Canis lupus familiaris: one gene and its partners. The protein of the gene in region 7 interacts with the protein of the main gene of each other region in a pairwise test. Links are inferred from orthologs where the notes say so. Each region holds a gene or a part of one and is shown on either strand. Other genes may lie near its edges.

The links.
Region 1: the proteins of CEP70 (region 7) and ZNF227 interact in binary tests that used the Homo sapiens proteins (3 or more experiments, as listed by UniProt). The two-hybrid records come from large-scale screens. The link is inferred for Canis lupus familiaris from reciprocal best matches to the Homo sapiens genes CEP70 and ZNF227.
Region 2: the proteins of CEP70 (region 7) and ARHGEF3 interact in binary tests that used the Homo sapiens proteins (3 or more experiments, as listed by UniProt). The link is inferred for Canis lupus familiaris from reciprocal best matches to the Homo sapiens genes CEP70 and ARHGEF3.
Region 3: the proteins of CEP70 (region 7) and YJU2 interact in a two-hybrid assay, tested with the Homo sapiens proteins (2 studies listed by BioGRID and IntAct). The two-hybrid records come from large-scale screens. The link is inferred for Canis lupus familiaris from reciprocal best matches to the Homo sapiens genes CEP70 and YJU2.
Region 4: the proteins of CEP70 (region 7) and KAT7 interact in a two-hybrid assay, tested with the Homo sapiens proteins (2 studies listed by BioGRID and IntAct). The two-hybrid records come from large-scale screens. The link is inferred for Canis lupus familiaris from reciprocal best matches to the Homo sapiens genes CEP70 and KAT7.
Region 5: the proteins of CEP70 (region 7) and ZCCHC10 interact in binary tests that used the Homo sapiens proteins (3 or more experiments, as listed by UniProt). The two-hybrid records come from large-scale screens. The link is inferred for Canis lupus familiaris from reciprocal best matches to the Homo sapiens genes CEP70 and ZCCHC10.
Region 6: the proteins of CEP70 (region 7) and NOL12 interact in binary tests that used the Homo sapiens proteins (3 or more experiments, as listed by UniProt). The two-hybrid records come from large-scale screens. The link is inferred for Canis lupus familiaris from reciprocal best matches to the Homo sapiens genes CEP70 and NOL12.

The regions. Positions count from the first base shown.
Region 1 is NC_049222.1:111,821,377-111,825,611, reverse strand, and holds the start of ZNF227 (zinc finger protein 227), read left to right. Parts: upstream 1-1,435; 5' UTR 1,436-1,454; intron 1,455-1,462; exon of another isoform or gene 1,463-1,634; intron 1,635-2,341; exon of another isoform or gene 2,342-2,400; intron 2,401-3,603; 5' UTR 3,604-3,676; intron 3,677-4,120; 5' UTR 4,121-4,122; coding exon 4,123-4,182; intron 4,183-4,235. UniProt on the Homo sapiens protein: May be involved in transcriptional regulation.
Region 2 is NC_049241.1:33,695,477-33,699,643, forward strand, and holds the start of ARHGEF3 (rho guanine nucleotide exchange factor 3), read left to right. Parts: upstream 1-1,367; 5' UTR 1,368-1,393; coding exon 1,394-1,516; intron 1,517-4,167. UniProt on the Homo sapiens protein: Acts as a guanine nucleotide exchange factor (GEF) for RhoA and RhoB GTPases.
Region 3 is NC_049241.1:55,766,507-55,769,809, reverse strand, and holds the end of YJU2 (splicing factor YJU2), read left to right. Parts: intron 1-836; coding exon 837-984; intron 985-1,159; coding exon 1,160-1,272; 3' UTR 1,273-2,803; downstream 2,804-3,303.
Region 4 is NC_049230.1:25,791,379-25,795,560, forward strand, and holds the start of KAT7 (histone acetyltransferase KAT7), read left to right. Parts: upstream 1-1,382; 5' UTR 1,383-1,397; coding exon 1,398-1,692; exon of another isoform or gene 1,693-1,876; intron 1,877-4,154; coding exon of another isoform or gene 4,155-4,182. UniProt on the Homo sapiens protein: Catalytic subunit of histone acetyltransferase HBO1 complexes, which specifically mediate acetylation of histone H3 at 'Lys-14' (H3K14ac), thereby regulating various processes, such as gene transcription, protein ubiquitination, immune regulation, stem cell pluripotent and self-renewal maintenance and embryonic development.
Region 5 is NC_049232.1:21,261,205-21,264,704, forward strand, and holds part of ZCCHC10 (zinc finger CCHC domain-containing protein 10), read right to left. Parts: intron 2,373-3,500; coding exon 2,298-2,372; intron 1,653-2,297; coding exon 1,385-1,652; 3' UTR 1-1,384.
Region 6 is NC_049231.1:27,924,004-27,928,089, reverse strand, and holds the start of NOL12 (nucleolar protein 12), read left to right. Parts: upstream 1-1,286; 5' UTR 1,287-1,357; coding exon 1,358-1,440; intron 1,441-2,424; coding exon 2,425-2,530; intron 2,531-2,842; coding exon 2,843-2,891; intron 2,892-3,421; coding exon 3,422-3,564; intron 3,565-4,046; exon of another isoform or gene 4,047-4,086. UniProt on the Homo sapiens protein: Multifunctional RNA binding protein that plays a role in RNA metabolism and DNA maintenance. Participates in the resolution of DNA stress and the maintenance of genome integrity by localizing to sites of DNA insults.
Region 7 is NC_049244.1:35,301,043-35,305,115, forward strand, and holds the start of CEP70 (centrosomal protein of 70 kDa), read right to left. Parts: upstream 2,801-4,073; 5' UTR 2,656-2,800; coding exon 2,641-2,655; intron 980-2,640; coding exon 889-979; intron 727-888; coding exon 603-726; intron 282-602; coding exon 101-281; intron 1-100.

The DNA of each region.
Region 1 (4,235 bases), on a different chromosome or scaffold from region 7:
TTTTTTATTGAGAGGTAGATGGAAAAGGAAAAGAAGCCTCAGTCCTTTTCACTGGCATAGAAAGGAATTGCAGGACAGTGAAATGAAAGTGAAGTTGTGTAAGTACACTCCAAGGGAGGAGTAAGCCAATCAACAGAGACAATGCACCTCCCCTGCCCAGGACATACTCCAGGGTGTGGGCTTATCTCAACTTTTTCTTTTGGGCTGGTCTTAGGGTCCTGACATTTGAGTGACAGACCTGGATTATATAATAACTAGCCAACTACACATGTCCTTTCCCAAAATATATTGGAAATGCCTGGGCAGGGTAGGAAACTGCGACACTATTTCTATTCTGGAGATAGGTCAAATAAGGACAAGAGGCTGCTTTCTGCCCAAGTGCAACAAGCACAACAAACTTAACTCTTCCTCTGCCAGGATGTTGTAAACACAAATCAATAGGATGGGATAAGGTGGTCCCTGGGCAATCCTTGTTTGGGGCTCTCCATCAGGACATCTAAGGCCCATTCTCCTGTAGTCAGTCATGCCTGACTTCCTGCCTAACGTTCAGTAAATAAGATCTGAAAACATATATTGTATTGAATATATGGATATTTCTAGGTATTCCTCTCTGCTCCCCATCTTTATTTCTTTGAAACATCAGTTCTATCATAGATTTGAGCAATTAACAATAGTTCTTTACAGCGACCATTGCATAAAAATGTAATTAACAATAATGTATTCATCCTTCAAACTCAGAAATCTGAGGAATGATTGCAAACCCCCCAGTTGGGAAATTGATCATACATGTGTTCTGAAGCTTGTCTTTTTACTCTGAGTATGCCTTAGTTAACTTAAAAGTCAAGTTCTGAATTATTTGTGCTATTCACAAAAGTTGACATCTACAATATATTCTGTCTTCATTGCATCTTTTTAAAAATCTCTCATCCTTTTTTTTTAAGATCTAAAAAGTGACTGAAACTGCAAAATAAAGACTATCATTTTATCCCTTCTTTGTCTAGTAGTAGTGGATACAATTTTATTTTGTAAAGATTCACGTGATCTGCTTGTTACAAACTTATTTTATTCTAAGACTGACTATTCGAGTATCAGCTAAGTATGTTTTGTCAATTGGAAAAAAAAAAACTCAACTTCACTGGCGCCAGAGAACTGCTTTATGCCTGCAAAATAAGAAACCATAACGCGGATTCTGCAAGTTGCAGTCCTCGAACTACCAAAGGGGAGATTTGCTAGAGGGTGGGGAAGGAGGTGGCTTACGGGGGCTGACATAGTTCTCCCTCCTCTTGGGGGCTCTGGGAACTGTAGTCCTCAACTCTGTCGGGAACCAAGGATCCGCTGCAGCGCTTGTTCCCCTTGGGGGCGTCTTGGGACATGTAGTTCCGGGGCGCCGCGGAGTCGGAGGCACTTCCGCCCCGGAAAAACAAGGCGGCCGCCATGTTTTCGGAAGTCCGGAGGTGAGTCAGGCTTGCACCCCACCCCCGACGCCTCGGAGCCCTCCCGGCCTGAGCGTGGGACTAGTCGCTACTTCGCCGGCCGTCTTAGAATGGAGAAGTCGCGGCCGCCGGCGAGGGCTGAGACACGGAGGGCAGACGCTCTCCTCCCCCTCTTACCAAGCGGCGCTGCTGCTCGCATCGGTACACTACCTGGCGACTTGTTCTTTGCGCCCTACGGTCTTCCTCCGCAAAGGAGCGAGCGAGCGGGAAAACACGGGAGGGTTGTGATTCGCAGGAAACGGGACGATACGTGTTCAAAGCTTAGAACGGTGGCGGCACGGGTAGCGGGGTGGCTCTTGCTATTGGGAACGCGAGTTCTGCCGCCCGCGCCCCTTGGCCTGGAAGCCCCAGCGGAGGGAGGGAGGGAGGGAGGCAGGGAGGCCGGGGCTCTGGGAGCAATGACTCGGCCCTGCGGTCGTCCTCCCGGACGCTGAGCTCTTCCCGAGCTTTACCCACCTCTCCGTCGGGAGGGCCCGAGGACCCCGCGCTCGCCCTGGCCATGGCCGCGGGGCCCCTTTCCTCACAGTCCCCGACTCGGGAAAGGAGAGGAAGGACGGACCCCCTGGTTCCTCCACCCGCCGCCCCGGGTGCCTCCCAGCCAGAGTACTTTCTTGGTCTGTCCTCTTCCGTTTTCAGTTCATTGGGTTTCCTTCCCTGAGTAAATTACTGCTGGGAAAATGTTGCAAGTGTTTGTTGCACCAATCTGCGGCATGTTTGATCTTGTTAACATGTGTCAGTGTGTGTATTCTAAATATACTTTCCTAAAAAAAATATTAATTTATTCATCAGAGACACAGAGGGAGAAGCGGGCCCCCTCCGGGGAACCTGATGCGAGCGAGACTCCATCCCGGGACCCCGGGATCACACCCTGAGCCAAAGGCAGACACTCAACTGCTGAGCCACCCAGGTGCCCTATATGTATTTGTTTTTAAATTGATCGCGTTGTATATTTCTTTTGCTCTCCTTTCTTCAGTTTTGTTTCTTTTTGTTTGCTCTCAACTGGTTTGGAATAAAAAACGGTTGTCTGTCCCAGATACTGAATTTAATCAGCGTGTGTTCTCATTCTGAGAAACGTAGAGTTTTAACACATACTTGATATCTGATGATGGCCCCTCACAACCACCACCTTTTTTAAACTGGAGGGCAAGAGGGCACCTTGCCCTCAGGGTGCTAAACCGCTGAGCCACCCAGGGATCCTCCAGGATGTATTTATTTTTAAAATATTTTAGAAGTGAAGTGAGGCAGGGGAGAGGGAGAGAAAGAATGTTAAGCATGGGGGCAGCCCCGGTGGCGCAGCGGTTTGGCGCCACCTGCAGCCCAGGGCGTGATCCTGGAGACCCGGGATCGAGTCCCACGTCGGGCTCCCTGCCTGGAGCCTACTTCTCCCTCTGCCTGTGTCTCTGCCTCTCTCTCTCTCTCTCTGTGTGTGTGTGTCGCTCATGAATAAATAAATAAAATATTAAAAAAAAAGAATGTTAAGCATGCTCTATGCCCAGTGCAGAGCCCAAGGTGGGGCTGGATCTCATGACCTTGAGATCACGACCTGAGCCAAAATCAAGAGTGGAATGCTTAACTGACTGAGCCATCCAGGCATCCCAGGAGTGTATTTATTTTTATTTACACTGTTCAGAACTGGTGTATATGAACTTAGCAATTATCTTTTGAATTAAGACTTCTCTGACATTTCTTCTGTTCTCTTTTCCTCATATTCCTTCTATTGGACAAATGTTGGAGCCTTTCAATCTATCTTCTGTCTTGATACTTTGTATCTTTATTTTTTACCTCCATGTTCATAGGATAAAAGGCTTTTTACCAATAATCGTTTTTTACTTCATGAAGTAAATTGGAAATGATGCTAATAACAGTGTGGATAAAATGTTATTAGGTGAGCAACAAATTCTTAAGAAATTTATTAATGTATGTACTTATTTATTTTTAGATAAGAAGGAATTTTAAGTCAGAATTAGGATTTTCAGAGAATAAAGATGATTTTCATAGGAGAGCATTAATACATATAGTCCAGATATCTTTCAGGTCTTTTTTGCTGTTGATGGAAAAGACATCTGCAGATAAGACTTTATGATGCAGACTATCATCTGCTTTTTTGCAGCTGCAAGAAAAAGGGACTCCTGGTTCTTTGAACTTTCCATCTACTCATTTAATCCGAGGAACAACCTTATGAGGTGGGTATGATTTGCAATTCTTATATTCATGTGCAGATGACCTCAATGAGGCACGGAGAGTTTTTTCTTTAACACCCCCTATGTTATATAGATGGTAAGTATCATTTCTAGGATTTAAACCTAGGTCTTTGGCTGTAGAACCCACTTAAAAAAAAAATCTACATGTTAACAGTGCTATTCATTTTCTATCATCCTCAGGATGAGAAATTCTTATAGTAGGGATACTGCATTTGGTTGTACAGTGAACTGTACAGTTGTTCACTGTCCAATGGCCCCAGGCTGACAGACTTAGTAGTTGCAATCTGCTCCATGCTCTGCTTACCGTGCTATATGTGGCTACATCTGCCTGGAAGTAGGAGAGCTATTGTATAATTTCTGCAAAGATCGACATGGGCTTGTGGCACCCCTGGCCTGCATCTCATGGCTTTCTTTGTCCTTTCCCAGTTATGCCTCCTCAGGATTCTGACCTTCCCCAGAAGGAGCAGGAGAAAATGACCAAGTTTCAGGTAAGGCATTCTTTTCTGTCTCCTCAGATATGATTTAATTTCTAAAAAATTAG
Region 2 (4,167 bases), on a different chromosome or scaffold from region 7:
ATATGTTAGAGGCCAGGTCACTGCCTGGAGAGAATGGGGAGAGCCTGCTTTCTTGTATGCCCTAGAGCCCAGTCTTAGCTGGAAGCTTGTTCTTTCTTTGCTGGGTCCCCCACTTTACTCAGGGCTCAGACAAGTAGAGGTTCTTAAAAATCTGCATTTTTAAGACAACCTTGGGAGACTTTTGCCTCAATCTTGGCAGCTAGAAGTTGCAAATCAAATACTACTCCATTAGAAAACTAAAATAATAATAATAATAATAATTGAAAGCTGCACTGGAATTATGTCTCCGTGGATTTGAGATCCACTGTTACCATGCAAGGAGGGTGAGGGGGTTGAATTATTTGTGGAGGGGTTTGAACAGGGCATGTTTTTGTTTGTTTGTTTTGTTTTGTTTTGTTCTTTTCCCTGAAACCTGGTAGGTGTCTGTGAGACAATCTGTGTCACCCAAGGGATCTGGGTTTTGTAAAAGGCAGGCAACCCGGGCAAGGTGTTCATTCTGGTGAGATCCCATTTTGTGAAATGAGAAATGCCAGCCCTGAGTTATTTCCATAATCACTCTGAGAAGAGCTTTAAGGCCTTCCGTGATCCATGTCAAAGGCTGAAAGGGAGGGCACCTGGGTGGCTCAGTGGTTGAACATCTGACTTTGGCTCAGGTCATGATCCTGGGGTCTTGGGATCGAATGCCGCATCAGGCTCCCTACAGGGAGTCTGCTTCTCCATCTGCTGTGTTTCTGCCTTTTTTTCTGTCCCTCTCATGAATAGATAGATTTAAAAAAAAAAAAAAAAAAAAAAAAAAAGCAGAGAGGGAGGTTTCCAGAAGCAGCTATTTTGAAGGGGGCTCTGAAGAGAAGATTTGCCTAAGAAAAAAAGAAACGGATGGGTGTGGTGTTTACCACCACTCTCATTTATTGAGTTGAATTTGGGATTCAGTGACAGCTCTGTGTCCCGGGCAGGGCAGCTGGCTCTTGGGTTAAGTTCAAGTGGACTATTGATTCTGCTCTGAACACACAAAGTTCTCCCAGTGTCCCTTCTCTCTCTGTCTCCTGCTGATGTTTGGGTTTAGGTCTACAAAGCTCCAGACGCCAGGCCTGATGTCCTAGCAGAGAACTCTTTAGAGCTGCTGGAGTGCTGGGCATGGCTTTAGGTGGGGACCCAGTGAGCATTGTTTGTTTCTTACCAGCTGGGGATTGCCAGCCAGACACTGAATTTCTGGTGTGCTTTTAAATGCTCAAAGACACAGTGCTCTGAAAAAGCAGCAGCCGGCGAGGAAACCGCTGGAGGTGGGGAGCTCTTGGCTGGTGTGGTCTCAGCTTCTGACACTTATAACTGATGGCCCCCTGTCACTTCCTGTCATGCAGCCCAAGTGGCGGGGAGGAGTTCCTTCAGGGAAACCATGCTCTGCTCAGCTCAGAGAATCCCGGTCTGCAGGGCTCCGTCGCAATTAGGGGCGGGGGACTCTGCGTGGATGAGGCCAGAGCGCCCCATGGTTTGGTGCTGCTTCTTTGTCAGGGCTCAGGTAAGCTCCCTGTGGCAGAGCCAGGGATGAATGGGCTCCCAGCTTCCACCCATGCCTGGCTGGGCGGTGCCAGGAGCTGGGGTGCAGGAGGGCGAAGCTGTCTTTCACCTCCCAAGACAAATGGGCAGGGAGGGGCTTTACAAACACCTGGAATGATGGAGGAGGACTTCTGTCTGCTTCACGTGAATCAGAAAAAAAGCTGTGTGGTTGTGTTTAAGACCACAATGGTTGCTTGGTTGGAGATGGTGAGTTAAGCGAGCGTCTAGCTGTCAGTGCTTCCTTTAGCATCTGTGATTGGAGGAGAGAGTGTGTGTGCGTGTGTGAGGGGGGTGTCTTTCACTCTTTGTTCCACGATGCTACTGTTTTAATTTTCATAAGAGATCTGTTTTCAATTAAATGGGGAAAAAAAGAGGGGAAAAAAGGATGCATCTGCCGTCTGGCGTTTCTTTGTTTGGGGCGGGGGGCGTTTACAAAGTCACAAAGTAGATTTCCAAGATCTTTTCTTCTCCTTTGAGTTGAAAGATGGCTGAAATCAATTCTGGAAATTCATTCTGCTTGGAACAACTTTTTTGTAGGTTTCCTCATCGTGAATCTTGTGAATGTGTTCATCATTGAGAAGATGAAGTCAGATATTAGGGGACATCCAGACTCACTGGTGTTTTCATTAAGAGTGTTGGTGCTTAGTTTGGTTATGTCTGAAAGAATGGCTGGAAATGTTACATTTCTATGGGCTGAAGAATGATTAGGAGGCCTGAAGGTGACTCCCTCTGTCCTTTTTGTTTGTGGGTGGGTATTAAAGCTTTGGATAAACCACCACTATTTTCCAAAGAAAGTGTCCACTGCTTTTTCTACTCCTCTCACTGGAATTCTGAGGCTGGTTTTTGTAATGCTAACTCCAACTCTCATACATGACCATTCTAGACATACATTTTAAATCTTTTTGTGTGATTTGGGTGGTTTTACGGTCTTTCTCCTTTCCCATCTGACTCATCCATCTGTTTGCTCACCTGATAAAGAATCATTTTTGAGCCTTTGAGATACAGAAATTGACATTTAAAATGACTTACTACAATTTAGTGATAGTTAATGCAACATAAATAAAAAATAATATAATACTAGCCAACATTTGTTAGATACCTTTTTTAAGATTTATTTATTTATTTATTCATGATAGACACAGAGAGAGAGAGAGGCAGAGACACAGGCAGAGGGAGAAGCAGGCTCCATGCCAGGAGCCCGACGCAGGACTCGATCCCAGTACTCCAGGATTGCGCCCCGGGCCAAAGGCAGGCGCCAAACCGCTGAGCCACCCAGGGATCCCCCTGTTAGGTACTTTTCACATTAGTAAGCACTTTACTCCCATTAGCTCATGAAATTCCTACAACACTATAGAATTGACTATTATTAGTATCTCTAATTTTAGATGGTAAAACTCCGATTTTGAGAAGATAAATAATTTGCCCAAGGTCACCTAGCTGGGGAGCAGTGGATCAGGCTTCAAACTCAGGCAGAATGGATCCAGAAATGACATTCTTAGCTATTAGGTGCTGCATGAGGATTTCAATGATGGGACCCTTTCTACATCATCTGCAGCATCTTCAATAACACTTTGCTTTCCTATCCTTTGGCAAGTCAGCCTGTTTTGGTGGATGTTTGCTGTGGTCCAATTAGCAGCTACCAAAGGGGCATCTAGACAAATTACTACCTTCTCTGGACTTAGCTTCCCTACCTGTCAAATGGAAGTTTCTCTAAACTCATTTTAGTTCTGATACAAATCTAAGGTGTGCAAATATCTTGTACAAAAAGTCAAAAATAGGTCTCACATATTTCCTATTTCAAAGCTAAATGAGTGCACTTAAACATACATTTCCCAAGGAACTGGAACTCACAATGTAATTGGCTGGGTGGCTGTTGACCTTTATTTTGCTCTTGAAAATATTACTGACTAAATATTTATTTCTCGGTTTGAGAGTTTTCAGGGAAAGGATCTGGAGGAATGGGGACTGGGTGTGGGAGGTCAATTGGTAAATGGTAGAGAAAAGGAGGATACAAACTCTTTAAAGATCTCATAAATCCATCTTCTGAGATTTGGCCAAGGTAGTTCTGTATCAGTGGAGAAATGGTAGAGTGTAATGATTAAGGGCATGGGTTTTAGGACTACTCAGATGTAGGTTCCAACTTTGCCTCTTATTAGCCATGTGATCCTAGGCATATTACCAAATATCTCTTAGTCTGTCTTTTGCTCTGCAAAATGGTGATAATAAAGAACATCTACTATATAGGACTGTCATAAGGAATAAATGAAATGACCCACAGTAGTGCCTCACACAGAGCCAGAACTCAGCAAATGTGATCCATGTCCTAGGTCTTATTGACTGTAGAATGTTGGTGGGCACCAGAGACATGAATCCTGAGTGCATATTTATATACAGAGATGACCAGGGTTCGATTTTGTTGAGGGAAGGAAGCATATTCCACGGAAGGTCAATACTTTATTTTAAAGCCCCAATTCCAGCCATGTTTTTACAGCTTGGCCAGGATGCCAAGTAGTAGCCACGAAAAGGGAAGTTGATTCAAACCAGATTCTATAAAGGCCTTTCTTGATAGAACACTCAGAGGTATGACTCGGAGAGGGCGAGGTCAGGGTGGTG
Region 3 (3,303 bases), on a different chromosome or scaffold from region 7:
CTTGGTGTGCCCAGCCCAGTGCCCCCTCCGGCCCTGCCTCCGTCTCTGCGTCTCCACTCGTTCGCTCCTCACTCTGAGGTCAGCCCACAGTCCGCTCTTTGAGGGACCTGTCCTGACCCCCGACTGGCTGCTGTTCCCTCATGCTGTCACACCGTTTGTCCGGACAGATGTTGTCCTGTTGATCTACTCCCTCCTCCGTCCTCCGTCCTCCCTCAGATGGTGGCCCCCAGAAGGCAGCACCCTGCCCACCATGCCCCCTGCAGCTCCAGCCCCTCACTCAGGCAGGACCTTCTGAGTCCAGGGGATTCCAGTTCCTGTGTTTCAACACAAAACTGATGAAAGGGGCCCCTTCCCAAGGAGTTGAAGAACTGGAGGTGGGGCTGAGCCCCTCTCTGCCTTCCCATCACAAGTCCCCAAGGTGGGCACCTGGATCTTCCCTCCTATCAGACACTTTGGTAGAGCATCTTCGTGCCAAGACTTGTTTGTGGTACAGTGTACCCCGTCGTGAACAAGACAGGAACCCACAGCAGAGACAAGGAGCCCACTTAATGAGGCAGTGGAGGGCACTGGGGGTGTGGACACGCAGCCCTCGCTTGGGCTTCAACTGGGAAGAAAGGTTTCCCAGAGGAGCTGATACTTGGGATGGGTATTGAGGGATGTGTAGGAGTTCACAGAACACATTAGAAGAAAGGGGGGCATTGCAGGTGGAGGGAAGGGCATGGGTAGAGGCCCAGAGGGGAGAAGATGTGATGTGATTTAGGAAGCATAGGTGCAGGGAGCCCAAAGAAGGTGGGATCTGGGCCAGCTCACCCGCTCTTGTCCCCCCTCGCCCCCAGGCACCAAAAGCCAAGAAGAAGGCGGAGAGCTGGGAACGGAGCGTCGGCACCCTTGGCAGCAGGCCGCAGCTGTCAGGCCTCGTTGTGGTGAAGAAAGCAGACCTGGGTCGCAGCACCCAGCAGGGCCAGGTGTCCCCCACCCCCCAGGGTAGGTGTCCCAGGGTGCTGGGACCGCTGTGCGGTTCTTTGGGCAGCCACCAGGTGGCAGCACACACCACCCCCAGTGCAATTGGGGAGCTTGGGAACCCACTGCATGTAGGGGAGAGGGTTGCCCCCAGGATGCAGGGTGGAGGCCCCCTAGGCTAGCTCTCCCTCTCCCCCAGGCCCAGCGAGGAGCGGGAAGGCAGCTGACTCTGCAGCCTGGACGCCTGGTGCCTCCTCCCTGAGCCAGCTGGGAGCCTATTCCGACAGCGAGGACAGCAGTGGCAGCAACTGAGACCCCAACCCAGGCACGTCCCCAGGTCAAGGTCCCATCCAGCTTCAGCTGGTGGTCAGAGCAGGAGGTCTCGGCTGACACCTGAGCCATGCATGGTGGACAGACCCAAAAGTCCTCTGAGGCTGGCCAGACCAGCGAGGGCTTCGGCCGAGGGACTGTTTCTCCCTGTCCCCCCACCACTGACCCCTAGGACCTTGGGGTCCCCAGCGCACACTGCCGTCCTCCTGGCCCTCCGTTTGGGGCTGTGGCATCCCTGGAATGGCCCTCAGCTCCCGGCAGGCCCCTGCTGTACTCTCTTGGGTGGCCGTGTTGAGGGCAGGCAGGGAGCCCAGCCACCCCCATTAGCTCGTCCCCTGCGGCCACGACAGAAGGAACTCGCTGTCCAGCCGGGGCACCTTCTCTGCCAGCTGCTGAGGAGAGGCCACAGAGGCGCACGATGCGGCCTCCTCGCTCCTGGAAGCCACAAGATTGGGAAGGTGCTGATTAGTGCAAGTTTGGGGAGAATTTGTTATGTGGCCATAGTGCTCCAGGATGGTCACATGACCAGTGAATCGAGTCCGACGCTCAGGGTCTTTCAAGGTTGCCACGTTTCAGCTCTGGTACAACTCTCTCCCCCTTCACAGCTTCCTAGTTGAAGGCGGTGTGCTCCCGCCAGGCCCCCTCGCCACCTGACCCCCGGCTCTGCTCTCCCGCCCCTCCCGGGCTCACTGGCCTCGCCCTCCTCTCTCTCTCTCTCTCTCTCTCTCTCTCTCTCTCTCTCTCTTTCTCTTTCACATGCACGCAGCACGCACCTATGCACACATGCGCACACGCACTCATTTGGCTTTTGGTACCAAGGCTTTGTGTGTCTCCCGCCGTGTGTGAGCAACAAAGCCCCCCACTTTCAGGATCCACTTTCCTACAGTGATTTCGTGCTTCAGTGTGACTTGAAGAAGCGAACCAGGATCCAGCCAGGCCCCAGGTCCTCCCCTCACAGCTCCCGGCTGTGAAGACAGGCCGTGGGGGCCCCAGTTTCAAGCGCCAATGGTGCTGGGCTGAAGCCAGCTCCCTGGCCGCTGGCCAGAGCTGATGCACGGGGCACCCCACTCCCCAGTCCTGCCCTCAGCCGCATCCTGTTCACAGCTTCCAGTTGGCCGCGGCAGGAGGATTTACATCACAGGAGTCCATGCACTTACAGATGGGTGCCCCGCGCCAGAGAGCCAGCTGTGGGCATTCCCAGCGTGCCCCTGCCTGCCTCCCCAAGGTCAGTGTCAGTGTCGCACGGTGCCCCGGACGTGTGTGTTCATCCTGGCGGCTGGACTAGAGCAACCGACCGAAGCACTTGTGCAAGAGATTAGTAGGAGACTCAGGGCCTCCCTGGTTCACGCATTCTTGCAGACCCTTCCCTGAGCTCCTGTCCTGTGTGGCCCACCCTCGTCGCTGTGTGCAGGTGCCATCTGTTACTATTATTAAGATCATCGACTCTAACACATGGAGTAGCGAACCTGGCCCACAGCCTATTTTTGTGAATAAAGTTTTATTGGCACAGCCACATGCCCATTTGTATCCATGTAAGGTCCAGACGCTTTGCTCTATGGTGGCAGAGCCAACAGGTTTACGAGTCGCTCCCTGACAGTGGGACTTCGTCAGCCTCTGTCTGGGTCGCCCAGCTCTACACTTCCTGCTTGTTCCCCACAGCCTCCAGGGGAAGGTGGCCAACACCCGTCCACACCTCGATTTCCAGGCTCACACCGCACCTGCGACTCTGCTGCCTGGGGTCACCCTGAGGACAGAGACCACCTGCCCTTGCAGTGTGGCACAGGGAATGAGGTACATAGGATCCGTTTAGTGAGTAATAGTTAACGTCTGTGAAGTACTCCCCACTTGCCAAACCTGTGCTAAGCTGGTTGTGCAGATTCACTCGTTTGAGTTTCCCAAATCAAGTCGCTCACTCAAAACATACATATATGTATAATTTATATATAAAATAGATATTATAATATGCATATAATTTATACATAAAGTTTATAATATAATTAAGTTTATATGTAA
Region 4 (4,182 bases), on a different chromosome or scaffold from region 7:
GTGCGGTCTGGGCACACTATTAAGGACGATACCCCCAAGCCGAGATATGCTCTTAGCACCAGAGCATCCAAGACGGACCTCAAGAGCACACGAGGAAGTGCAAAGTAACAGTAATAGTGGGAAATTAAATGCAGAAGGGATAGGAGAGGAAGAAACGTGAAGCCCTTGTCCAACATGTTCTTATGTAGGTTATTCAGAAGTATTTATACCAAACACCAAAAGCTAAATCCTAAATGCTGAAAGCTGCTGCCCGTGTTACCACCGGCCCAGAATATTCCCGACGACAGTGCTGGCATTGAACTCTTCAGAATCCTCTGTTTTTCTCATCAGTTAGATGGTTTACCTTCTGCTGCTTTGTTATCTAGCTCGGGGGGGGGGGGGGGGGGGGCGTCTCAGGTGAAACTGGGGTCCAGGATTCTAACAAATGACTGAGCACGCCTGGCTTCCACCCGGTTGCTTTCCGCAGGCTTTGCTCCTCTCAAAGCATTTTAAGCCGCGAGGTTAAATCCTCAACGTCTGCTCTCCACTTCCCAGCTTATTAAAATGGCTCTTCTTGCCTTCTATCCCTGACCAACTTTTCCCCCCTTTCAAAACTGACCCTTTGATTATCAGCATTATTACTACTTAAATAGCCATGCTTTTTTTTTTTTTTTAAACTCTAGCTTCACTAAAAATATTCCTTCCTCTTCTTCGCTCCCTCAACTCTTGGCGCAAGCACCTAGATCTCCAGGGCTCACTTGGGCTAAACGGGGTTCACCGCTCCTCTGACTCTGGTACCTCACCGGCCCCCGCCCCGCCCCCGCCCCACCCCCACCCACGGCTCTCACACCCGCACAGAACCGGGGAAGGAGCTGGGCGCTCACCCTAGAGCGAAACTGGGAACTCTTTGGAGCTACCGCTGCTGGAGAATGGTTTTGCCTCCTTCCGCGACGTGAAGGACTTGCTGCTCTCTACGGGCAAGGACAATGTCTCCTCTACCAGACAACAAACTTCCTGAGGATGGACGCTACCCTTCTTAGTTCCTTTTACACGCCCCCATTCCCATCACGTTGAGACACAGGATGGCTTTTGAAATACAATTTCTTGGGCAAAATATCCCTTCCCAACTTTGAGTTTATACGATAAACAGGAATGCCCTTTAGCCAATTAGGCAACGAAGGGGTTAAACTTCAGCCACCTGATGGATTCTGGGGGTTTCCTTCCTCGACTTCAGAAATTAAAACGACCGGGAAGGGAAATTTTGCCCAAGGTAAAGATGAGAACCGTTAGCTTCTACCGTCAGGCTTCAGCCCCAAACAAGAATGGCTGCCCACGTCCGCAAAATGTACCAAACCCCCTAACTAAAAATGGCTGGCCTGGATTTCTACCACTGGGCTACCTCTCTGCCCAACTCCAAAATGGCGCTCACTAGCCTCAGCAAGAGGAGCGAACCTCCCAGCACCCTCTCCGGCCCGCAGCGTCAGGTGACGCGAGCCCCAGCCGGAAGTGAAGGAAAAAGCGCCTCAGCCCGCGGCGCCTGCGCAGAAGGGTCTAGACGCTGTGAAGCAGGAGGCACTTGGGATCGTCCGCAGGATTGGGACTGCTACAGAGGCCGCCACGGAGCCCGCCGGAGCCACCGTTCCTGCTGCTGCTGCCGCCGCTGCCCGAATCGGAACTGTCGGGCCGCAGCCGCCGGCAATGCCGCGAAGGAAGGTGAGGGGAACAGGACAGAAGGGATGGCGGGTGTCTGAGGATAGTCGATTGAGCAACGTGACGCAGTTAGCCACGCCTCACAGTGGTTGGGTTCCAACTTCCCGCTTCCCCGAACCTAGCTCAGCAAGCCTCCCTCCTGTCCATACCCAACAGAAAAATGTGGGCCCGATCCTGGCCTCGGCCTGTGCTTGCAACTATTCCCGCCCTCTGCTTGCCTGGCTCGGAGGCGTTCTTCTCGGTAATTGGTCGCTGAAACGCCTAGCAGCATATTGATTGGCTGGTGGCACCGCCCATTTGGGTCCAACGGTCACCTCCCCGCGTGCGGGGGCGGTGTCGGGGCCCGGCCCTGCCGCGCTCCCACTGGCTGTGGAGAACGATCCCTCCTCTCATGATTGGCTTGGCTTGGCAGTCTGTCCCGTGGGGGCGCGGTGTAGCAGTAGCGCCATTGGGTGGCGCGAATCCCCGCCCTTCCGGCCGCTGATGCTGATAGGTGCATAGGCGGCGTTTTGGAGCATCCTTCCTTTCCAGGCGGGGGGCACAACAAAGCAGAGGACTGGGTGGTAGGGAACCAGCGCCCACTCCCGGGGGATCCCACTCAGGCCTGTTGCGTCTGAGCCCGTAATTTTTCCCTATTGGCCCAATTGGACAGCGGCCAGAAAATGCCGTTTGTAAAGCAAAAACTTTCTCGAGTTAGATGGGATGTCTGAGGTCACCTAGGGACACCCCCATCCCTTTTCTTTGCAGCTGTACAAACAGGCCTGATGGGAGTGCCCCCAAGCCACTCCCATTAGGCAGTAGCCGACGGAGCCAGGACTACAGAACAAATCTAATTCAGTTCAACACATGTTTATTGACTACTTGCTACTGTGCTAGTTGCTGGGGATTCACGAATTAATTAGACATGATCCCTGGCTTAAGGAGATCACAGTCTGATGGGGAAAACGGACATAAAAAACTGTAGAAGGAGCTAGTAAATTCTCTACTTGGGGGTATATGGTATATACTAAGTGTTGTGGGAGGGAAGTGAGGTAGCAATTAAGTATGCTTTGGAGTAAGATGGGAAGTAGATGGTGGAAGCCAGAGAGAAGAGCTGAATTCCAGGGTCAAACCAGGAGGGAATGGTCAGGGATCGAACTATCTAGGTAATTGGACTAGATGACCTATAAGATTCCTCCCTTCATCTTAGGGATTTTCTGTGACTCTGGAGCCTCTGCTTCTTTCTGGGCAGGTTACCCTTGATATATTTGGAAAGTTGTGTGGTATTCTTGCTCATTTCTGCAGAAATATTTCTTTTCACAGAGGTTTTCAAATAAAGTATTTGTACCTTTTATCTTCTTAAATGGTCTACATTGGTAGACGGTATTTATGTTAAGGCTCACCAAATGCTGGAATAGTATTGGTGCCTTGGAATAGGTCCACAGTCCCCTTTCTGCAGTTTCCAAATACAAAGAGCTTTTGAAAATGTAAGTGTTTTTAGTAACTTACTTGGTTGGCTGAATCTGTCCTGAACTATCCTGAGGCTACTTAGAGTTTTTGTGTGTCTCATTGGGTGTGATTGTTTATATGTCCTGCTGTAGAAATAATACTAATGTGTTTGATGATGAGGCGTTACTTGCGGGATATATGCAAAATATCTCTCTTCCAAAAAGCCAAAAAGTTATGAATTTCAAACACAACTGGCCTGAAGGGTTTTGAATAGAAAATAAGGGGCTTGTAGTTTGAAGTTTTGTATGGTTTTCTAAGCAAATTCTCTATCCTTTTTGGCTTGGTAAAGGGTATAGTGTTAATGTTCAACTGTTAAAAGTTATCTGTATGGCTAATCATGGTTCAGGAAGCTAATAATTGACAAATAATTATTAATTAAGGAGATGATAATATCTCTTTTTGAGTATCTACAAGTCTTCATGTGGAAGCTGCCTTTTTTTTTTTTTTTTTTAAGCACTTTGGTATTCGTGTGGAGAAACTTCATAGTTAGACCACATAAGGAAGAAGGATTTTAGTCTTTAAGTTCTCTTGGTATCAGAGTTGTGGACCATGATATTTAGAATTAGTAGATGTTTAAAATAATGTGATGGCTGTTTGTGGAGACTTTGAACAAAAGCTGCTCTAAAGTTAAAAGGACTCTAGCATTGATTTCTCACCACCATGGACTTTAAGTGCATAGTTATGTCAGCCAGACCATTTTGAATGGGGTACTTTTATTTCCAGTTTGTAGTACTGACTGATAAATGGACTTATTACAGAATTAGTGTTAATAAAGTAAGAATTAATTATCTTTCGTTCATTTAATAAAGGTGCTTTATTTGTAGGTTGTTCCATTTTAAATGCTTTAAGAAAAGAGTGTTTGGCAGTTGAATCCTTCCTTAGTATTTTCAGTATCATGGTTCATTTTATTTCCAGTGTTAACACAAACCCACAGAGTAAATGCTTCTGTGCTAATGTCTGGATCTATGGTGTTACAGAGGAATGCAGGCAGTAGTTCAGATGGAA
Region 5 (3,500 bases), on a different chromosome or scaffold from region 7:
AAAATATAAAAAAGACAACATTCATAGTTTTAAAAACCCATATTTAGCCCGAATCAAGATTTTTCTACAAATGATAACTCTTTCCAAAGAGCTTAAAAGACATCACAGAATGATGTCATGCGAAACAAAATAATTTCACCACAGCAGAGTATTTTAAGAAACATTGTGCAATATTTCTTTTTAATCTTTCATGCTACACTTCAACTGTGTATATGCTATGTAAACACACCAGATTAGTCCAAGTCATTCATATTTATGCAGTAGAATGTCATATATGACCAGCTGCCATATAAACTTATACCACAATTGCAAAAATGGTAAAAGGCAATCCTTATGAAAGCTTAGAAAAACTTAATAAAAGGCAACCAACATTGCCCTAATTCTCTGTTAAAATTACCTTTGTACCTATTTTTTCCTCTCCTACCTTTTATAGCATAACAACACAAAGATACTTGTATCACTTTTCCTTAAGTTAGGCTTTTAAATGACTCTTTTCTAATACACAGAATTTATCAAAAGGCACCAAGATTAGACTCCTAAGTAGTTTCAGAATTTTGGTTCCTTTTTAGGTTCTTCTGATTGATTTTCCTCAGAAAAAGAGTAACTTTACAGGATACCTGGGTGGCTCATTCAGTTAAGCATTTGACTCTTGATCTCAGCTCAAGTCTTGATCACAGGGTTGTGAGTTCGAGCCCAGCACGAACTTAAAAAAAAAAAAAAAAAAAAAAAAAGAGTAACTCTAAGAGCCAGAAGAAAATGGATGATATAACACAATAACTTGACATTTGTACCATCCAAAAGGTATAAATATAATAACAGGTTCCTTGAGCTTTTCATTTAGGACAAGAAGTCAGAATAACTTTCTGAACATAAACATAAAAATAGGGCACAATTTTTAAGAGGAACACTTCTAATTTTATAGTAACAATGTATTAAATCTTATATAATAACACACAGCCAAAAGCATTAGAAATTCACTGCCAAAAAAAAAAAAAAAAAGAAATTCACTGCCAGATATTCTGATGCATTATCCTGAAAATATGTCTGGTACATAGCACTAACATATAACAAAGGATGGCAATTATCTCACAGGGAGAAAAGATAAGTCTCATCCCCAAAACAGATTTACTGGATTCAGCTTTGATTAAGTTTTAGAGATATATATTAAAAATAAAAAAGAAAAACAAGATTTACTCTTAAAATAAAAAAAGTCTTATATATAATCCATTAATACTCTTTATGCTCTTCTGATGTAAAACATTTAGAAATTTTTGAACTCCAGTAATTTTGACTGGTTACCCTATATGGCCTTAATGTAGTCTAAATACCCCTTTCGAAAGTCACATTAATTTTTTGAGTCCAGCAGTACAAGAGAGATGGCGTTCTATTTCTTTTTCTTCTTCTTTGGTGGTTCATCCTCAGAGCTGCTCTCTGTGCTGGTGCTGCTGCTACTGGAAGAGCTGGAATCTGAGTCTGAATCAGAGGACGAGGAAGAGCTTGTGGAGGAGGATGAAGATGAGGAACTGGAGGAGCTTTCATCAGTGTCGCTGTCCTCTGAGGAGGATGAGGTAGACGTTTCTTCACTCTCTGATGAAGAATCACTGGCTGAACTGTCGCTGCTACTGCTGCTGGAACTGGTTACACTCTTAGACCTAGTAGACAGTGAGGAGTTACACGCACAGGAAGCTGACACCTAACAGATTGTTGGAGAGCAATTTCATGGGGAAGCGATTACATACACTGAAGCTCTGCTAGCATGGAATCACTAGACCCGAAGCGCTGGGGATTGCATAACTGTAGAAATCCCGTGGCAACCACAATGTCCTTTACTTTGGCACTTTAACTATCTTGGACAGAATTCAAGATAAGTACTCCTACTGTACTATGATCCAGGAAGAATAATGTTAGAATAAAGTTGCAGTGGAACAACTGGGCTTTCTTAAACCTCAGGTAGCATGGTGTTTCAACATCTTTACTTTGAATCAGATATAGCTGGTCAACAATTTCTTACCAGTCTAATAATATTTCCTATTCTAATATAGGAGATTTTTAAGAGAAATTATTTACTATTTCCAGGGAGAAAGCCTCTGGAAAGCTGGAGAAAAAAAAGTGAAGGCAGAAAGGTCCAGTTGGGTAAAGAGAGGAACAGATCATGAAATAAGGATGATACTTAATCAGGAATGACAAACAAGAGACTTCAGATCCAAACTTTATCACAATTATTTTTAAAGCATTCTTCCCATTCCTCTCACTAGTATTATTTATTATCCACATAATACTCCTAAAGCCACACATACCTTTTTTTCTTGGTCTTCCTTTCTACATTAGTTTCTCCGATGCTGATAAACATGAAGGGAGAGAGGGGGAAGCTCCTGTTAATAAAGTGATTATACACAGTTCATATAAACCCTTCAGCTATCCCCCAAACTGTCTTTCACTGGAGAAACACTCTGTCTTTTGTGGCATGTACGGAGCCCAGTAATTCTTGTTATAACCTGCCTCTCCCTCTCCCTCTGCCCCTCTCTTACTCCCTTTCTAAAAAATAAAATTCTGAATTGAGTTGCCATTACTAATATTACTATGTAATTGATTAAAATAATATAGGAATACATTACACATTTTAATAATTATCACACATCAAAGTAAATTTATTTGAAATGCATCGATTGTTTTTCTAGCTCATGTATCTCTGGATCTTACTGCTAGATTGTGACAATGTTCAGCATTAATTCAATTCCTGTATTTAACATTTATAGATTTAACCCTAAGAAACCTTCTTACCCTAAATAGATAGATGGAAATAGAGTATTGTTGTAGTGATGTCACTGTTTGAATATCTCCGATGATGTGGTCCACAAGTCACAAAGATGAATCATTAAAAAATAGTTTTATTGGGGATCCCTGGGTGGCTCAGAGGTTTAGCGCCTACCTTCGGGCCCAGGGCATGATCCTGGAGTCCCGGGATCGACTCCCACATCAGGTTCCCTGCATGGAGCCTGCTTCTCCATCTGCCTATGTCTCTGCTTTTCTTTCTGGGTCTCTCATGATAAAGTAAATAAATAATATCTTAAAAAAATACTTTTATTTATTATTTATTATTGGGGGGGAGGGTGAGAGGGAGAGGGAGAGAGAGAATCTTAAGCAGGCCCTATACCTTTTATGGAGCCCAATGCAGGGCTTGATCTCATGATCTTGAGATCATGACCTGAGCCAAAATCAAGAGCTGGATGCTTAATTGACTGAGCCACCCAGTCACCCCTAAAAAATACTTTTAAATTGGTAGCTCAATTAGGTCTTTCTTCAATTTTGCTGGGAAAAAAATTACAAAAGAATTTATTCCCAATAATTAGAGCTATCTACTTTCTTAGTACAAACACCAGTATTTCAAAAATGTCTAAATTTTTATACATGAAGAAAAGGGAAGTAGAAAAGGAGGATGAGCAGGAAAGTACTAACATAAATTTATTTTTGGAAAAATTATATATGAATGTTGATGACCC
Region 6 (4,086 bases), on a different chromosome or scaffold from region 7:
AGATAGAGACAGAGAAACAGGCAGAGAGAGAAGCAGGCTCCATGCACTGGGAGCCCGACATGGGGGGATCCGATCCCGGGTCTCCAGGATCGCACCCTGGGCCAAATGCAGGCGCTAAACCGCTGCGCCACCCAGGGATCCCCGGGCCGTCCTTTAAAAGCAAGGGCAGCAGCTTGTGTGCAGCACCCAGCAGGTGTGACTTAAGAACGGGGGATTCAGGCGTGTGATCCCAGTTACCAAAAGTCCCCGTCAGGCAGTGTTTTACTGAATGCACGCCCTCGTCTTCAGTGGAGTATATGTTATTTTTTTTCTAAAGATTTTATTTATTTATTCATGAGAGACACAGAGAGAGGCAGAGACACAGGCAGAGGGAGAAGCAGGCTCCGCACTGGGAGCCGGATGCAGGACTTGATCCCAGGACCCCAGGATCACGCCCTGAGCTAAAGGCAGATGCTCAACCGCAGAGCCACCCAGGCGTCCCGAGAATGTGTTATTATTACACCCCAATGCCACACCTGGGGAAACTGAGGCACAGACAGGGGAGATGACTTGTGTAGCAAGCACGTGTGTGGCAGGTATTACTTACATGAAGTGTTACGTAACTCACGTTTCCTCCTCCTCCTCATGGTTCTCAAAGTATGGTCCGTGGACCAGCAGTATCAGCACACGCGCGCGCGCACACACACACACACACACCCCCAGAACGAGTCAGAATCGCAGATTATGGGGCTCACTCCAGACCCGCTGAATCAGAAACTCTAGGGCGAGGCCAGGAGATCTGGGTTTCCGCAAGCCGTGCAGGGGATTCCGAAGAACGTCAAAGTTTGAAAACCACTTCCAGGGGATCCCTGGGTGGCTCGGTGGTTCGGCGCCTGCCTTTGGCCCAGGGCGTGGTCCCGGGGTCCCGGGGTCCCGGGGTCCTGGGATCGAGCCCCACGTCGGGCTTCCTGCATGGAGCCTGCTTCTCCCTCTGCCTGTGTCTCTGCCTCTCTCTCTCTCTCATGAATAAATAAATAAAATCTTAAAAAAAAAAAACACTGCTTCGCAATCATAAAGTCACTATAATCATTCCCATTTTACAAATGGGTAACTGCGGCAAAGCGAGGGCAGTTGGTCCGGAACCACAGCCGTAACGTCCTGAGCTCCGGGACTCGCTTTCACCGCCGCTAGCCTAGGAATGGGCCGGGGTTAGGAATCATGGGGCTGGGGAGGCGGGCTCCGCGGCCCCTTTAAAAGGCGGGGCCTGAGGAGCGGAACTGCGCAGCGGGAGTGCGAGGCGCCCCCGGGAACCTAAAAACCGCTACACCCGGAAGTGTCTTAGGCGTGCGGGAGCCGCGCCGCCGGAGGCCGCGCCGCCATGGGCCGCAACAAGAAGAAGAAGCGAGATGGCGACGACCGGCGGCCGCGGCTCGTCCTCAGCTTCGACGAAGAGAAGCGGCGGTGAGTGCGGAGGCTGGAGCGGATCTGCCTCGGGCTGCCGTCCGGGGCCGGGGCCAGAACCCGGGCCGAGCGGCTGCGCTCACGCAGAGGTCCCTTCCGGTCCCGCCCTCTCGGCGCGGCCCGCGGCTCCCCCCGACGCCCCCCGCGGGATGGACGCGCCCGCAGCCCCCCCCGGCCTGGGGGGTGGAATCGCCCGCCCCGCCCCCCTTCCCCGGCTCTGCGCCCCGAGTCCCGCAGTGCGCGCGGCGGGGGGTGGGGGTGGGGGTGGGCGGCAGGGGGTGGGGGTGGGGGTGGGCGGCGGTGGCTAGGGGACCCCCAGGCCTCTGCGTCAAGTCCGTCGGAGGTTCCCCGCCCCGCCCAGAGCGCCACTTTGCCGTGTGGTAGTGGGTCGGCGAAAAGCCTAGTGCTGCTCCCCGGACCCCCCAACATTTGGGAATGGTGCGGCCAGCTCCCGAGAGAAGGAGCCAAGATCACATAGAGGAGGGGAGGGCAGGTGCCGTCCAGGGGCCCTGCAGATGGGTCCAGGGGCAGGTGTCCTGGGGAAATGGGGTGAACTCCAGTGGAAAGTGTGTGGGTGTCTCCGTGAGGGTGGCCTGAAAAGCTCTGCTGGAAGTGGCTTAATTCACTAGGTCATGGGATTTGGCAATGTAGGAGGGGCCCCCACCTGTCCTAGGCTCGTAGGCCCACCTGCCTGGCCCTGTTGAAGCTGAGCCCTGGAGGGATGGGGGTGGAAGGAGCCTCTCGCTCTTCTTCCTGACCTTACACTCCCTATGACCTTTGGCAAGTAGTCTAGCTTCTCTCTGCCTCAGTGTCCCTGTCTGTAAAATGGGCATTGGTACCGACCACACAAGCTGTTGTGAGGAATAGGTGAGTTAACACGTGTGCATTTTTAGAGTGGGTACAGTATTAGTGGTTTTTCTCTTCCTGGGGTGAACCTTTCTTTCCTGTGTGTCCTCCTGACTCTCCCTCGACTCTTTCCTGTAGGGAGTACCTGACTGGCTTCCATAAGCGCAAGGTGGAACGGAAGAAGGCAGCCATTGAGGAGATCAAGCATCGGCTCAAGTTGGAGCAGAAGAAGCTCCGGGAGGAGGTACAGAGGGGAAGGCTGGGGGGGAAGGGGGCTAGGGAGAGAGAGAAAGTGTGTGTGTGCATGTGTGTATCTATATCTATATATCTATATCTGATTCCCAAGGGATTCACATCCTTGGGTGACCTTAACAGGGGCATCTGCAGAAATGAGGGGAGGTGTGGGCAGGCCCGGGGAGCAGTGTGTACATGCTGCATGTGGGCTCGGGTCTGGGGAAGGTGTAGAATGGAATCTCCTGGTGTTTCACTATGAGCTCCTGCCTGGGGTTGGCTGGAGAGGCCATCCTCACTGTGTTTCCTTCCCTTTTGGTTTCAGCGCCATCAGGAATACTTGAAGATGCTGGCAGAGAGAGAGGAGGCTCTGGGTAAGTCACATCTTTGCCCTGAGCTGAAGAAAAGCCAACAGACCTAGACTTATTTATCCCTTGGTGGATGGAAGGGGAGGGGTGTGGGGGCTGCACAGAAGCTAATTTCCTAGTTCCAGGGGTCTTGGTGGTGACGTGGGCCATCGGCCAGGGCTGGTGTTCAGGACCCTCTATAAATGTGGGTGGATCAGAGACAGGAAAGACCAACCTCTTGGTAAAGTGATCCTGAGCAGAAAGCCCAGTTTCTGAAGCCTGGAGGGACTGGGGGTAGAGGGGAATGGGTAGTAGCAGCTGCTGGGGTCACACCAGGTCTGTCCTAAATGAGAACCAGATGGTCTGAAGTCTCCCCAGAGTATCGGAAGGAGTTGAATCACTTACATTTGTCTGCAGACCAGGCTCTGGAGCTGGTGACTTCCTGGACACTCTCCCAGAGTAGAGGGGGCCATTGTACTCCAGGGCTGGGCAGGGGGTTAGAGTCTGGTTACTTGTGCTCTGAGGCTGAGACCTGGTTCTGTGCCCACCTTGCACAGAGGAGGCAGATGAACTGGAGAGGCTGGTGACAGCAAAGACAGAGTCAGTGCAGTATGACCACCCCAATCACACAGTCACCGTGACCACCATCAGTGACCTGGACCTCTCAGGTGCCCGGCTGCTTGGACTGCCTCCACCTGAGGTGAGTGTAACTTCCAGCCCTAGGGAAGATGGGCCCCAGTGCAGCCCTAGGTGCATACTGGCTTGTTGGGGATGCTGAGTGCTGGTCCCTGTTGGGCAGATTCCAGTGCGAGGGGCTCTTTCCCTCCTGGGCATTCTTCAGGGCCTGCACAAAATCCGTGGGGCTTGGAGAAGCCGGTTCTGTGACTCAGTGACTGTGGGAACATGGGCAAGTGTCTGCCTTGCCAACTTTCCTTTTGCCAATAAGTTGAGGGAGAGGGAGGTAATTGATGATAGCACCTGTTTCTTGGGATTGCTGTGAGTATAAAAGCGGTTAATCCAAGTGACGCACCTCAGATACCAGTTTGTGGTGATCACACCACTGCATGGTAACAGCAACGACACAGCCCATTCATGTGCACTGACCGTTTTCAAGCTGTGAGTGGGGAGGTACTCACAGATTGTAACCAGTATTTTAAAAAGATTAAAAAAAAAAAAAAGGATCCCCTTTTAAAAGCACTCAGTGGGCCCTGACTCATGACCC
Region 7 (4,073 bases):
TCTGTCAATAAGATAAAGACCACTGAATTAAGTGACATAGAAGTCACCTGTGACCTTAATGAGCTGTTTTACTACTATCATATAAGAAAACACATAATACCTGTAAAGCTTTATATTCCTTTTGAAGATCTTTTATTTTATTCTGTTGCTGGCAAACCCTATTTAGGGATTCATCCTCCAATTCACCAATTTTGGATTTCACACTCTCCATAATATGTTCCAAGTCATTAGCTCGTTGTTCCTGATCGGCTGCTCGGCTTTGTTCTAGCTGAAGTTCATTTCTAAAAACAGACACATGATTTCTTCCCTTAGTATAGAAGGAAATCACATTAACAAACATACTCATCTAACAACATAACGAATTTCTAAAATTTCATTGCATTGTTAAAATTTCTGTCATATAACACAAACCAATGGAAGAAATACAAGGCACCCTTACATATCTAAGCTAAGCTATTACTGAAAGATTTACCTACTAAAAATATTTTTTAAACTTAATATTTAGTCAAAATAGAAAATTAAAGTTCAAGATTCAAGGCATTATTTTTAGAATGCATACCACTGGTATACAAACAATTCAAAAGAGAATTCTGTTTTCTTACTTAAGCTGCTGATTAGTTTCTATGAGCTCCTGGATCATGTTCTGTTGACGTGTTGTTTCCTCCACCAATGTTTTCAAATTCTGCCTCATCCTTTGTGATGACTGTTTATCAAAAACGATGAGATCTACATTTTTTAATATAATACAGATAGTAAAAAAGGCAAAAAAATTTAAGATAAAAATTAGTTTTAAAAGGAAAAAAAATAATAATAAAAAAATAAAAGGAAAAACAATTTTTTTACCATAATGAGAAAGGATAGGATCTAGCAAGAATAGGATTTGATTACCTTTAAGATCAGTTCTTTCGACTAGAGATAAAGGCTTTAAGCCATGCATCATCAACAGCACATTTATGCTTTCCCATTCTGCTTCTTCTCGCTGTAATTACAAGGAGTGAGAGAACGATCAACTTCAATATATAAAGTGAAGAAACACCCTCTCAAATATAATTTCCTTGTTTACAAAATAATGGAACTTTTTCTCCAAAGTTTCTTAATATGAATTTTTTATGCACACATGATGATTAAAATTAAAACAAATGTCTAAAAAATTAGCAGATCAAAAAGAATGCAAATAAGCACAAATAATAAAGCACATTATATAATTCCATACTCATACATATAGGCTGTAATGGATAAATTGAAACAAAAATACCAACCAAAAAACACCTTGTAATTTCAATGAACCAAACAAACCTTAGGGTTTTTTTGCTTAACCAAATCACACCAGGCCCTACTCAAAAGAAACAGCTGCAAGGTGCCTGGGTGGCTCAGCTGGTTAAGCATCTGATTCTAGCTCAGGTCATGATCTCAGGATCATGGGATCAAACCCATGTCAGGCTCTGTGCTCAGTGTGGAGTCTGCTTCTCCCTCTCCTTCTGACCCTACTACCCCTGCTTGTGTGCAGGCTCTTGCTCTTTCTCAAATAAATAAAATCTTAAAAAAAAAAAAAAAAAAGGTTTGACCAAAGTTTAAAGAAAGATAAGAAACAGCTGCCAATTAGGTCATATTTACTGAACAGTAAATTAAATGCAAGTCACACAGAAACAAGTACCACTTAATGAATAAGGTCACCAAAAAAAATCAAAATGCCTGAATAGTCAAAGCCAATGATGTAGATAGTCCCTTGTATAGTGGACAAGGTCTAACTATAAAAAGGAGTCTGTCCATCTAAGTAACTGATTCTAGTAGCGTCACTCTGAAAGATATTCTCAAGTTTTGTATCCCTGATTCTAAATACCTATTCGTACCATAAACCTGAGAGGGGGACCCTAACTCTCTAAATTTTTTTTTCCCTAACTCTCTAAATTAAGTAAATAAAAACAATAATGGGAAGAAAAGGTAGTAAGAATATACAATACAGATAAGAATAAAAATAGAGATGATTTTTTGGATATTTAAACCCATGATATTAATAGTCTTTTAATGTAAATACAATGATCAATTTGAAATCACTGTGTGAAGTTAATTTACTTGCTTTTTAAGTTATGTGAGTATATTTGAAAAGGTAATCTGAGTGAATTTACAATCAATGTTTAAGTGCTTGAAAAATATAATTTATAAAATAGTTTTTTTACTAGTGATATAGTATTAAATATTGTAATAGCTTAAAGATTAATATAGACAAAGTACATATAAAAATACTACTCTCCACATTCAAATGCCCCCAAACATTAAGCTCTCTACTGGTATGACTACAATAGCACTATTACTAACAGCACCAAATCTTTCCTTTTGACTGCTGACTTTCTTCACCTTCTTTATCCCTTCCACACTTCTCCTCCTACAATCTTTTCCCTTATTTATGTTGTTGGTCACAAAGATTCATGATCCAGAATTAAAATTACTGAAGCTATCTGCTTTAGGAACCAAAAGCTATGTGGGCATCTCAGTGGCTATCTACTATGACTCATAAAAACCAAATACTCTGTAAATAATGCCACACATTTTGAATGATCAAATTATATATATATAATTATATAGTTATTATATATAATTATATATATTATTTATAATATATATATAATATTTCAAGTTTACCTGTTTTTCAGTCATGAGTCTGTTTAATGATTTACTGGACTCCTAGGCTTTAGGGGCTGCTGGAGATATAGTATCTTTTGTTAAATCAGAAGAAGTAGATTGGCAATAAAAAATATTCACGTTGCCTAAATGAAAAAAGAAAAAGTTCAATAGGTGTTAAAGAAAATTATATTTAAAAGAATGGATAACCCTTAGGCAATTTGAGCATTCCTGTGTCAAAACTTGTATGACTTCCTAGAAAGCTGATTTTAAGAATCATTAGAATAAATCCTATCTTATAATGTTCTCCTCTAGAAATAAAACATTATGAGTTTTACACATACACACAGAACTATTTGTTTTAATTAGATATGTACAAAGCACGTGCTACTAATAAATAAACTGCTATCTTGTGGAAGCTGCTTCTTGAAGCCAAAAGAACTATACCTGACCCAAAGTTATAGGCCAGTCTAACAATTCACTGGACTAAACACCAAGGGTAAATGCAGTGCCACTTGCTTAGGTAGTCTGTATTTCTAAGTAGATCAGAGGCTAGCAACAAAGAATTCTGTGTGACTGGCAGACACAAAAGTTTATATTCAGTCTACCCTACCATTACTTCTTCTTATCATCTAAGACTTTATCATCCTATAGGGAAATTTGGATTCTTTGGTATGTAGATATAATTCCTCCTTTCAAGAAGCACAATCATACACATTCATTAGCATCAGGAACTTTTAGATCTTGAGAGGACCTTGTATAGTGTTTAATCCAAAATCTCTAGCTGTTCATAGCTGGCAGAGCAGCATATGAGAGAGTTGTACCAAGACATCAGGTACTATAACCATCTGAATCCCAGAAAAGTGAAATGATCTTCTCAGAATTACTAAGGAAAAAGGTAGGCCTCTTCACTGCCAGGTAGTATTTCTTCCAAAGCACCCTTCTACTCTTTTATGTCTGTTTCAGATAGTGAAATCCAACCAAACAATTTACCAGTCACCCTTAAGTCTGGTCTACAGGGTACAGTCTTTCTACCTTATTTTCAGATAAACCCAATAACATGTTACAAATTCCCAAATTCTGCCACTTTTGTGCTTAATGTCATACTATCTCCCCTGTAAGCTTTGGTCTCTTTAACAACTCAACCACCCTTACTTTGGTAACCCATCCTGCTTTTACAAACCGTTCACCTAGTTATAATTTCTCCTAGGCTTTAGGGGCTGCTGGAGATATAGTATCTTTTGTTAAATCAGAAGAAGTAGATTGGCAATAAAAAATATTCACGTTGCCTAACTGTATTAGAGAAATTTTTAGAAATATACAAAAATAAATAAATAAATGTAAATTTAGAGAAATTTTTAGAAATATACAAAAATAGAGAAAGTATAATAAATCCACGAATACAGCTTCAATGAAAGCCAACATTCTTGCATTCTTATTTCATTTCTTCAATG